Linked DNA regions of Lonchura striata. The protein of the gene in region 2 purifies or fractionates together with the protein of the main gene of each other region. This does not show direct contact. Links are inferred from orthologs where the notes say so. Each region holds a gene or a part of one and is shown on either strand. Other genes may lie near its edges. The genes, in order: DDX46, SRPK2 and C1H1orf35.

The links.
Region 1: the proteins of SRPK2 (region 2) and DDX46 purify together in Homo sapiens (affinity purification with mass spectrometry; 4 studies listed by BioGRID and IntAct, with this or other methods). This does not show direct contact. The link is inferred for Lonchura striata from reciprocal best matches to the Homo sapiens genes SRPK2 and DDX46.
Region 3: the proteins of SRPK2 (region 2) and C1H1orf35 purify together in Homo sapiens (affinity purification with mass spectrometry; 3 studies listed by BioGRID and IntAct, with this or other methods). This does not show direct contact. The link is inferred for Lonchura striata from reciprocal best matches to the Homo sapiens genes SRPK2 and C1orf35.

Annotation. Positions count from the first base shown.
Region 1 is NC_134617.1:9,331,993-9,335,737, forward strand, and holds the start of DDX46 (putative ATP-dependent RNA helicase DDX46), read right to left. Parts: upstream 2,718-3,745; 5' UTR 2,640-2,717; coding exon 2,623-2,639; intron 417-2,622; coding exon 234-416; intron 1-233. UniProt on the Homo sapiens protein: Component of the 17S U2 SnRNP complex of the spliceosome, a large ribonucleoprotein complex that removes introns from transcribed pre-mRNAs.
Region 2 is NC_134607.1:59,975,666-59,979,410, reverse strand, and holds the start of SRPK2 (SRSF protein kinase 2), read right to left. Parts: upstream 2,447-3,745; 5' UTR 2,432-2,446; coding exon 2,416-2,431; intron 2,314-2,415; coding exon 2,229-2,313; intron 1-2,228. UniProt on the Homo sapiens protein: Serine/arginine-rich protein-specific kinase which specifically phosphorylates its substrates at serine residues located in regions rich in arginine/serine dipeptides, known as RS domains and is involved in the phosphorylation of SR splicing factors and the regulation of splicing.
Region 3 is NC_134603.1:154,855,216-154,858,960, reverse strand, and holds the start of C1H1orf35 (multiple myeloma tumor-associated protein 2), read right to left. Parts: upstream 2,899-3,745; 5' UTR 2,851-2,898; intron 2,836-2,850; exon of another isoform or gene 2,583-2,835; intron 1,407-2,582; 5' UTR 1,367-1,406; coding exon 1,273-1,366; intron 1,181-1,272; coding exon 1,027-1,180; intron 949-1,026; coding exon 903-948; intron 817-902; coding exon 734-816; intron 644-733; coding exon 571-643; intron 236-570; coding exon 159-235; intron 1-158. Other genes in the region: MRPL55 (large ribosomal subunit protein mL55), read right to left, coding at 3,045-3,188.

The DNA.
Region 1 (3,745 bases), on a different chromosome or scaffold from region 2:
TAACTTTATGCTTCTATTGAGGAACAGGTTATAAAAGGAACCCACCAACCATCAAGACCGCTAAGAACTTACAAACTCCAGCACCAGCAAGCCAGAAAGCATTAAATAAGGAAAAAGCCTTAAGCATTGTGAAATCCACCACAGGCATCAGCAAAGTAACTAGCTGGAGTGGGAGAACATCAATATTCAGCGGACAGGCACTTTTAGTGCCTTGACTGGAGCTGCCGTCGTACCTTTGACGCTTCCTGTCCCGCGAGCGAGACCTTCTCTTGTCCCTGCTGCGCGACCTCTCCCGCCTGCGGTCCCGGTCCCGGCTCCGGGAGCGCCTGTCCTCGCGCTTCCTCTTGTCCGACGGGGAACGGCTCCGGGAACGGCTCCCGGAGCGCCCCCGGGACGCAGAGCGCTTCCGGTAATGCCTGCGGGCACGGTCAGAGTGAGCACCAGAACCATGTGCAGCAGGCAGAATAATTATCTGAAATTCTTGGGCTTCTTAAATGTCTAAACTTCTCCAATCATCTTGGCAAACTGATTAATATACATACTGTATGTATAATATACATATACACTCTTAATGATGCTGAAATTAGAAGGATTATTTGCTCATTATTTTTCTTTTAGTTTTAGAGTATTATTATAAGCACATGAGAACACCAGAACATCAAGAACAATTTCCTTTTCAGAAATCCACTGATTTCCATTTAATATATAGGAAAATCTGAAGGCTCTTTGAAACTATCTCAAAACCTTTCAGACAAACAAAACTGCTCTTTGTTACTTTTTATGCAATAAATGTTTACCCATATAAGGTAGGTGAACTATACTTCTGCTCAGTGGGAAAGCTGTCAGACTGGAATTAAAGAAACATAAACCCTCAAGGAAGTAACACACCTGTGGTCAATGCCTTTACCATGCTGACATTAATAGAAATTCTGTAATATCAAATATCACAACAGAAGCTGTCGAAAGTCAGCAAGATTGAGGGGTGTGAGGGAGATGGGTGTCTGCTTTCCTCCTCTCATTAATGCTCTTATCCTAACCACACTGTGGGGCAGAGCAGGGAAAGGAATTTTCTAGGAAACTCTTCAACTGAATGTAGAAGTCACAGAGGGACTGTGACTGTGACCATTTCCTCTTCCTCCAATCCCAGATTTTCAGACACCATGCCAGAATCATTCCTTTGTCACTCTCCTGTGGCTCAAGACTCACAGAGCCTTTCTCCTGACAAGCCCAATAGTCATGCTTGAGAAGAAGGAAGAAGCAGAGAAGACAAGACTTGAAGCCCCCCACTCTTTGTGTCACTTGCATGGTAGTATTAAAATAGTTCAGCTCTAAAAATAGCAGTATATTTATATCTAGTCTATGTTATGTGGTATATTTAGGCAGCACATGCACTTGGAGTTAGTACAGTAGCACATATCCACATCCTCCTGCCTATCAGCAGGATAACTGACTGCAAAGAACATCCTTCTGCATGGAGACTTTTGTTTGATTTTCCATCTCCATCTCAAAATGGCATGGGATCTGCTCTATAAATCCTCTCTTTCTAATCTTATAGTTTTAGAGAACTACTTTTGTTTTTATTTTTTCTTCCTCTATAGTGTGCAATAAAGACAAAAAGATGATTTCAAGTTCCAGAAGCCCCAGTGTGAGGAACATTTCCTCACACCAACCCTAACACATGCACCCATCTCCACCCACCATTCACTCTCACTCTCTTACCATTTCTTCACTTTTAAAACTTTTTGTACGTTAAAATAGAAAATTAATACAAGTTTAAACCCACTTTTAGCATTATTTTTAGCCCAAATAGAAGGACTCTGTCATTTTCAGAAGAGAAGCTATATTGTGATAAGCAACTGAGTCCTGCTGGCTGGAGTGCCAGAGCCTGGTTTTCAATTCAGAAGGCTGTAACAGAGCCCTGTACCACCCACTGCTGCCCCAGCTCATCTGGAACTAATTTAGATAGGTTTGTGGGAGTGCCTAGCTCTGCAATAGATCACTAATTTGGGCCCAAGATGGTTGTTAAAATTTCAAGTAATCTGTCTTTCTTGGGGTGAATCTCCGTGATGGACCTGGGAACTATTAGAGTGTAGCAGAACTGCATGTGAGGACTATCATGTCAGCTTTAGCATAAAAATCTGATTAAACTACGAGACAGAGGCATATGCCCGACAGCACTAGCAAATTGTGGAATGGCTTTAAAGCCTGGTAGGTGTGAGCAGCTCCGCATCATCTGGAGCACAGGTTCGGCCCGAGTCACACGCAGCACAAGGGCACATTACTGCCGAGCTGGTTACAACCCTAATCAGGGCTTTACATCACTGGGAGAGCGCAAAATATACTGCTCCATAAACACAAAAGACACGAACAAAACCATCCAAATCAAGCTAACCCCTCTGCGTGGGCAACGATGACATTTTGGAACAAACCCGTGAAGGCCGGAGGTGCTGGTGGCACCTCGGACCCAGCCAGGCCCGAAGCGCCGCGCGGCCTCAGCGCGCCCGCCGCCCGGGAAAGCCGCGCCGCGTTGTCCCCTCACGGCCGCCTCCCCGCGCCGCGCCGCCCGATCCCCGAGCGCGCCGCGGCCGCCGGGCGGGCGAGGCGGCGGCGCCGCTCCCTCACCTGGACTCGCGGCCCATGGCGGCGGCGCTCCCGCTACGCGGCGGCCATTCCCCGCCCGCGCGGCGCGCGCCCCGGGAGCGCCGCCCCTTCCGGCCGCGCCGGCGCCCCCCGGCGGGCGGAGGGCGCAGCGCCGCCCCGGCCCAGCCGCGCACAGCGCCGAGGAAGCGGGTAACCGAGAGGCTTTTAATAGAAAACAATCGCTCCGGCAATAAACGTTAAACACAACTACGAACACCAGCAGAGGTAAGTTAAAAACGGAATAAAAGAGATTGGTTTCTTGGTCTAAGGTCGTTTCTTGATCGCCGTTTCTTCATCGAGGTTTCTTAATTAAGCACAAGCCCCTCCTGGTGCTCTGCCCATGCAAGGGTATTTATCTGATTAAAATTTATGGTGAGGATTAAAATTCATAGCTTTTTACAGGTACTGGTGTAGGGATTTTTCCAATTTATTTGTATTACATTTGGGCATATAAATAGAGAATCAGAACAAGTAATTTTTAAGTAAACTCATTATTTATGTATCTCAACTTTATCTTAAATTACTGTAATTTCAGTTTTCTGAAATTACTATCTAATATAAATAAATTTAAAGTTGCTGAATCAATACCTTTGCTGAAAAACCTAAGTCAGAATTTTCTGCAACCCAGCCCTTTATATCTGTAATATAATACTCACCATAACAGAACCAGTTTAAAAAAACCCCATGAAAATGGTCAAATCAAAACATAAGGTTCTTGTATTCAGGCCACAAACATGTCTCTAATTTAAAAGTCAAGAAAGCATCACTAAAATTGCAGGAGGAAGCTTTAACAAAAAATAATCAACTGAAAGCTGGGCCATTTAGAGAGATACAATTAAACACATCTGCGCCCTAAAAGAACCTCTGCAGGCAAATACCAAGTTAAATATGTAGTTTACTATGCTAAAAATAGGCAACAGCCTATACTACCTGAAAGTCCAGACTTTAAAAAGAAAACTACAAGCTGAAAACACTACCAAATTTCGCTTCAACAGAGATTTTCAGAGATTATCAGTGTTTAAATTGACTATTTGGAATGACACTTCCTCTCACTGTGCAAAATTCCTAAGAGATTGAAAACAAAACTGTATCCCTTGTAAGTTTT
Region 2 (3,745 bases):
CATTGTTAACAGCAACAATGGAAGTTATTCCATAAAGCTTTGACCTGGCAGAGAAAAGTTTTCCTAAGAACCACAGTTAAGAAAAAAAAACAACTGCTTTGGATTCAAGGCTAAGTCACAATTTTCCTGTAGTGAACAAGTTCACTACAGGGAACTTACTCCACCCCTCAAATAAGCATTTTCATTTGCAGATACTGTGCATTTGATGTGCATCACAGGTACCATATACCTCTAAACTACTAGAATATGCTGTAGCAGTTGAATTTGAAGTAAGACCAGGAAGAGGACAAAAGAGACACTGGTTTTACTTTGGGAGCCTCAAATATTTGCAAGGAGACTTAAAAACTTGATAGGAGTTTCGCTTTCATACACAAGCATGAAACAAAGTAGGTTGTCTCCAGAGCATAGAAGTGGTTTGAAGAGACAACATACATATCAGAAGAGAAAAGATGGCTCTTGTCAACTACAGCAAAACCACTTGTTTCATAAGGCAACTGATCGGATTGGAGCATTGCGTCTGGAAATGCCAACTCAGCCAGGCAAATGGCCAGATCCTGACTGTGCACCCCGACTTAACAGTAGCCAGTTTCTTCAGCAAACACAAAGACTACCAGTTCTGCACTTATTGTCTGTGAAAGCAAACTTTTAACAAACTCATTCAGCAAAACATCCCACTTAGGTCCCCTAAAAAGTGTATTAAATGCTCTATCACCTAATAATAGAAGTTTATTAACAACCTTGTGGTTAAGACTTAACTGAAAGCTTCAAAAATAACACTGAACCTAGAGCTACAATGAAATTTAACCTATTTCCATGTTCAATCCAGCAAAAGACAAATGCACGTAACATTACAATCTGAAGGTTTTTGAAAACAAGGGAATCAATTCCTGCATATCTTACACATAACATTTGTTGCCATTGCAGTAACTCCAAATTCAAACAACTGAAAGCATAATACAGCTTTTACACAATGCTGGAGGAAACACCACTAGTGGAACAGGATGTGAACAAAGTTAGGTGTCGAAGTCTAATCGCACTACACCAGCACCTCCACCTCATCTATTTTTACCCATCCTAAAGGGGAGAATAGCACCCATTCATTGTAACTAGCAAAAAAAAAAAAGGCAAATCAAATACTTCACAGTCAGAGATATATTATTTCTTCCAGCAGACATCACAAAAAGACCTTGCCTCTTGAATCATTTGCCATAGCACACAACAGCATGTCCCCCCACCACATATCTATCCATCCATCCATCCACCATGCACTGCTTCCCAGCTCTAAGAACAGCCAGCTAGGAAGAGAGGGAATTGAGTGACATCAGGACGTATTTCCTTGTCAGAACAAAGCAGGTAGACTGGATCCCTAAGTAATGAAAACAAAGACAAGAGCCTACTGGCAACTTAACGAGTCACCAATAAAGTCCACTGAACAAAACAAGTGAACGTTAGTAACAGAAGCATGGAATCCTTCAAGGACAAAAAATTAAACAGTCCAAAGCCACACTGTCCTAGGAAATACTAAGGTGTAATAAACACTAAAGAGATGGAAGAATGTTCCCATGTGGTTCAGTGAAAAGTATAATGAGAAAAGATCAACTAGACAGTGACAAGAACATGAAGGGCTTGCAGAAGACAAGGGGAAAACAGAGAACAACCTCTGTTCTTATATCTGTAGAATTAACAGAAACTTAAAACAAGCCAAAGAGATACCAGTATCAGCATCGTTGGCTATTAGACACATCTGGGAAAGGGAAATAGTCTGATGGTACCGAGAAGGATGCAAAAAGGACTGCCTGTAGATGGGACAGCGATACAGAAAGAAACCTCGGAATAGACAGCACTGGAAAAGGAGATCAAAAAGATGAGAGAACTGGAGGGAGAACGAAGAGGAACACGTGGGCTGGCAGATCCCCGACAAACCGGGGGTTTCTCAGGGCCGGCGGCCGGAGTGCCGGGCGCGGGTTCCCACGGGGCACCGGCAGCCCTGCCCGAAGGATGCTGAGCCCGGCGCCCGGGCAGGGGACGGTCCCCGCCCGGCCGTGGCGACATCCCCCGGCCCGGGCGGGGGCTGTGCCCTGCGGGGGAGCCGCCGGTGCCCCGCGGGCGGCGGGACCGGGCAGCCGGGACGGCCCGCGGGGGCCACGGGCGCCGGCAGCGACGCGCAGACAACGGAGGGGTCGCGGGGAGAGGCTCCGTCCCGGCGGGTCGGGGGTCCCCGTACTCACTTTTTGTGGGGCGCCGAGTGCTTGTCCCTCCGGCCAGCCGCCGCGGACTGCTTGGGCCGCCGCCTGCGGGCCTGCAGGGCCAGCACTGCCGGGAGAAGAGAATAGCCGGGACCCGGCGTGAGCAGCGGCGGCGGCGGCGGCCGCGCAGCCCCCCGCTCCCGCCCTCCCGCCCGGCACAGCGCGGTACCTTTGCGCGAGTTCATCGCCCCGCGCCGCGCGCTGCTCGGCGGGCGCGCCGCTGCCCGGCCCCGCGCCCGGCCCCGCGTCCGGCTCCTCTCCCGGCCCCGCCGCCAGCCGCGACCGCGCGCCGGGCACCGTCCGGCAGCATCGGCACCGCCACCGCCGCCCCGCGCCGCCGCCGCTGCGCAGGCGCGGGCGAGCCGCGGGGCCGCGGCCGGAAAGGCGCGGGCGGGGCGGGGCGGGGCGCGGCAGGTGGCGGCGGGCGGGCGCACCTGAGGCGGGACGGCCCCGCCTGAGGCGGGAGCGGCCCCGCGGCCGACGTGGGGCTTTGTCGGGCGGTCGAGCCAAAGGGGAATTAATTTTGCCAAGTTTTGGGTCGTGACCGGAGTAGCGGGGCCATCCGCCCTGTTGCCGTGCCGCATTGGGAGCTGCGGGAAGGGCAGAGGAGAGAGGAGTCGGGCTCTCCACGGCAGCAGCTGGGACGAGATCAGCTTTAGCTTGTCCCGAAACCTGTGTGGGGTGAGATGCCAGAACCAATTATCGTCGTGGCCAAATCCAGGGAAATTAGATTTCCTTAATTCTGATTCTCACTAAGTTGTTTGATTATCATGACGAACAACTCTTGGCAATTGTTTTTTTTCCTGCCAAGGGCATCTTGTTGCCCATGGTACCAGGCACTGCTCAGATTTGGCATAGTAATGACCCGTCAATGGCCCAGTGAACACCGTCCCTTCTTACTTCAGCTGTGCACAGCATAGCTCAGTGCTTGACAGTGTTATGACTGAAATCTTGTGCCATCTATACCTTAATGCCTGGGGCCCGCTATGATCTGGGTCATATCCAAAGCTCCAGTCTAAGAGTGAGGCTTGTCTGGCTTATCTTCACATGGCAGTGGAATTCCAAGGCATGGTAACTGAAAGGTAACGGGGTATGGTCATTAAATTTTGAGACAGAACTGCCTCCCTAAGTGGCAACACAAGGAATCCGTAAGGATGAAGATCCTAAAAGCAGCTATAGTCAAGGCATTATGAGAGTGAAGGGAACTAGCAGTAATTGCTGGTCTTTAAGTAATTGGATCGAGATTTCATTTAGACAGAAAATTGAATCCGTAGGTCTGGTTAGTTCAGCTTAGGAGGGAGAGAGCCACAGAAGCATAAAGCTAGACAGCCCAAAAAGGAGGCACTACACTGTATAATGCTTTTTTGTCTAACTAGAGAGCCTGGTGAACAGAAAACAATAGGACCATGAAGTTTCTAAACTGCAGCTCTCATGAGGCACCCAGCTGCATTTCTAAATTAAAACATTTTCTGTGTCCCATCCTCCATCATAAAAGAACA
Region 3 (3,745 bases), on a different chromosome or scaffold from region 2:
CTGCCAAAGAGAAGCCCACAGAGGCTTTTCAGGCTGATTCATAGAGATGCAAAACAAGCCCAGTGCCAAACAGAGCCATGGAAACATTTTGTAAAATATTTCCTATAAAAGTCAGGGCATTTCTGGTGGTTTCCCACCAAAGTGGGAAAAATCCTCACCGCTCCTCCTCCACCTTCTCCTCCTTTTCCTGCTTCTTGGAGACAGATGTCTCTGGGCTGCTGGAGACTTTCTGGTGCTAGAATTGGAGAGGGGGAAAAATACAGAGTGAATCCATGAGCCCACAGCTTGTAATTATAAGAGAAAGGGTTTTTCTCCCTTTAAAAATTAAGCTTGGAAAAAAAAATTGAAATTACATTTGGGGAAAAATTAGAATACCCTTAAGAGCTTCTTCCAAATTAAAGCCCCACAGATGATCTCTGTGCCAACAGGACAGAGGAAACTCCTGCAGGTTTCTGTGCTACAATACCCAGGTAATATTTTAAATAAAATATTCCAAGTGAGGGGCACTGCTTTTTGCCTTTTTCCAATCTATTTTTGAACCTTCCAAGGACAATGTGACTGGCACCGTACCGTGAAGACCGAGAGCCCCAGCTTGGCCGCCTCCCTGTCCTCCTTGGAGAGCATCACCCGGCCAGCGCTGCCACTGCAGAGACACCACAGATAAAAGCATAAAAACACTGAAATCCAACAAATGGTTCTGAAATTGGTGTGGGACCCTTCCCTCTCTCCTTACCTGGAGCTGCCCAAACCCACCACCCGATCCACGTCCTTCTCGTCCCGCTCGGCACCGTCCCTCTTGCACACCTCAGCCAGGTCCTGTGGGGAGAGGGGACAGTGTCCTGTGTGTGTCCCCAAAATTAGAGCCCAGGGGACACTGGGGGGATGTGTGGTGCCCCTCTTACCTCTTTGCTGAGGCCCATGGGCTGCCTCTTCAAGCTCTTGTAGCCCCTGTAAAACCAAGAACAGGTGATACGTGTGGGGACAGGCACCTGCTGTTTTTTGGGGTTTTGTGGGGTGTGGACTCACAGTGCTGCCATCATGGCCTCCTGCTCAGCCAGGCGGACGGCAGCCAGCTCTTCCTCCCGGGATAACGGGGGGCCCGTGTCCTTCTTGCCCTTGGCATACCAGGTCAGGTCCTTGCCCTTCTGCCACCGCCCCACCGGCGCCATCAGGGAGTTCCCTGTGGGGAACAATGACCCCCCCCCAGTCAGCATCATCGCACCCCAAAACCGTGGCAGAGGGGACAGGGATTGGGGCAGTATCAGCCCTTACCCAGGTAATTCTCACGCTGTTTGTCTGTCTTGACATCCTCCCAGCTGAACTGGTCCTGGCCCCCCCGGACCCCGCCCCGGGAGGAGCCGAACATGGCGCCGCACCCCGCAGCGGATTCGGGGGATCCCGGTGACCTGCAAAGAGATCAGCCCTGCCTTCATCCACTTCAGATCCCCCATGCAGCTCTGGGGGGGCTCCTGAAGGTGCAGGGAAGCAAATTCAGCCCCCCCAGGGGTCAGTGGAGTAAGCAAAGGGGGTTACACAAAGGTGTGGGGTGTTACAGGCTGGAAAGGGGGTTCATAACCTGGAGGTGGGAGGGGGTGCACGGCTTGGGGAGGGTCCCAGCCTGGGGGAGGTTGCTGGGGCTCAGAGCAGCCCCAAGGGGGTCCGTGGCCTTGGGGGGTTCAGAGTTTGGGTGAGGTTCAGAGCCTCCAGCAGGGTTTAGGGCCGGCAGCGGGGCAGTCACAGCCTGGGGGTTTCAGGGTCTGCTTGCAGAGCTCGGGGGCTCAGCCTGCAGGAGGAGAGTTCAGGACTGTAAGTGGGAAGGCTCTGGGTCTGGGAGGAGGCTGCAGGGCTAGTGGAGAAGTTTAATGCCCTCATGGGGATTCTGGGCGTCAAGGGGGAGGGTTCATGGGCTGGATGGGGGGTTCAGGGTCTAGGAAAGGGTCACAGCCTGGATGGGATCAGAGCTGGGAGAGGGGGGTCACAGCCTGGATGGGATGAGAGGTGGAAGAGGGGGTCACAGCCTGCCTGGGTGGGATGAGAGCTGGGAGAGGGGGTGATACCCTGGATGGGATGAGAGGTGGGAGAGGAGGTGATGGCCTGAATGGGATGAGTCCTGGGAGAAGGGGTCACGGCCTGGATGGGATCAGAGCTGGGAGAGGGGGTGATGCCCTGGGTGGGATGAGAGGTGGGCGAGGAGGTGATGGCCTGGATGGGATGAGTGCTGGGAGAGGGGATCAGAGCCTGGATGGGATCAGAGCTGGGAGAGGGTGTGATGCCCTGGGTGGGATGAGAGTTCGGAGAGGGGGCGACGGCCTGGAGGGGATGAGAGGTGGAAGAGAGGGTGATGCTCTGGGTGGGATGAGAGCTGGGAGAAGGGGTCAGAGCCTGGATGGGATCAGAGCCGGGAGAGGGGGTGATGGCCTGGATGGGATGAGAGCTGGGAGAGGGGGCGATGGCCTGGAGGGGATGAGAGCTGGGAGAGGGATCAGAGCCTGGATGGGTCAGAGCTGGGAGAAGGGGCGATGGCCTGCATGAGAGGTTGCACATCCCGAGAAGAGGCTGCAGGGCCCGGGCTGGGACATTACCTGGGGCAGAGTTTCCGGGGCTGGGAAGGGGTTCAGGGCCGGGGGAAGCTGCAGGACCTGGACGCTGCAGGGCCTGAAGTGGGAACTTGCCCGTCCCCGAGGCGTGCGGAGGCAGCTCGGGGCGGCTCCCTGCAGCCCGCGCCTCTCCGGGCTGGGCAGTGCGAGGACCGGGAGTGCCGGACCCGCAGGCTCACACACGGAGCCCCCAAATCCCAAAACTCCCCCAAATCCCGAATCTCCCGAACCGCACCGCGCTCCCCTCACGCACCTCCGGCCGCCGCGCGCGGCCCGCCCCGCCGCTACCACCGCGGGCACGGCCGCGGGGGGGCCGACGGGCCGTACCACCGCGCGGCCCAGCGCGGGGGGAGCCCCGCAGAGCCGCACCGCCCACACACGGCTGTGTTTTCATTTTATTACTGTGTGGTTTTATTTATAGATTGATACAATTCTGGGTTCAGCGCTTCACTTCTTCCAGAACTTCTTGTAGGTGTCCAGGTCGATGCCCTCGAAGGTTTCCTCCTGCTTGGCCTTAGGCTTGCTGGGGAAGTGGCGGCGCAGACGAGCCTTGCGCTCGGCTTCGGGCAGCGTGTTGCTGTCCAGGGGCATCTGGGGACACGGGGGACATGGGGCGAGACCACGGGGACACAGTGTGTGACACCTCTAGGACGTGGCGTGAGATCCCAGGGACACGGCATGGAGCCCTGGGACCGGGCATGACCCCTTGGGACACGGTGTGAGATTCCCTAGGGACATGGTGTGGAGCCCTGGGAGCAGGCATGACCCCTGGGACATGGTGTGAGATTCCCTAGGGACAGTGTGAGATCCCAGGGACACGGTGTGGAGCCCTGGGAGCAGGCATGACCCCTGGGACACGGTGTGAGATTCCCCAGGGACATGGTGTGGAGCCCTGGGACAGGGTATGACCCCAGGAACACAGTGTGAGATCCCAGGGACGGGACATGACCCCTTGGGACACGGCATGGAGCCCTGGGACTGGGTATGACCCCTGGGACACGGTGTGAGATCCCAGGGACAGGGTGTGACCCCCTGGGACACAATGTGAGACTCCAGGGACACAGCCTGGAGCTCTGGGAGCAGGCATGACCCCTTGGGACACAGTGCGAGATCCCAGGGACACGGTGTGAAGCCCTGGGACCAGGCAT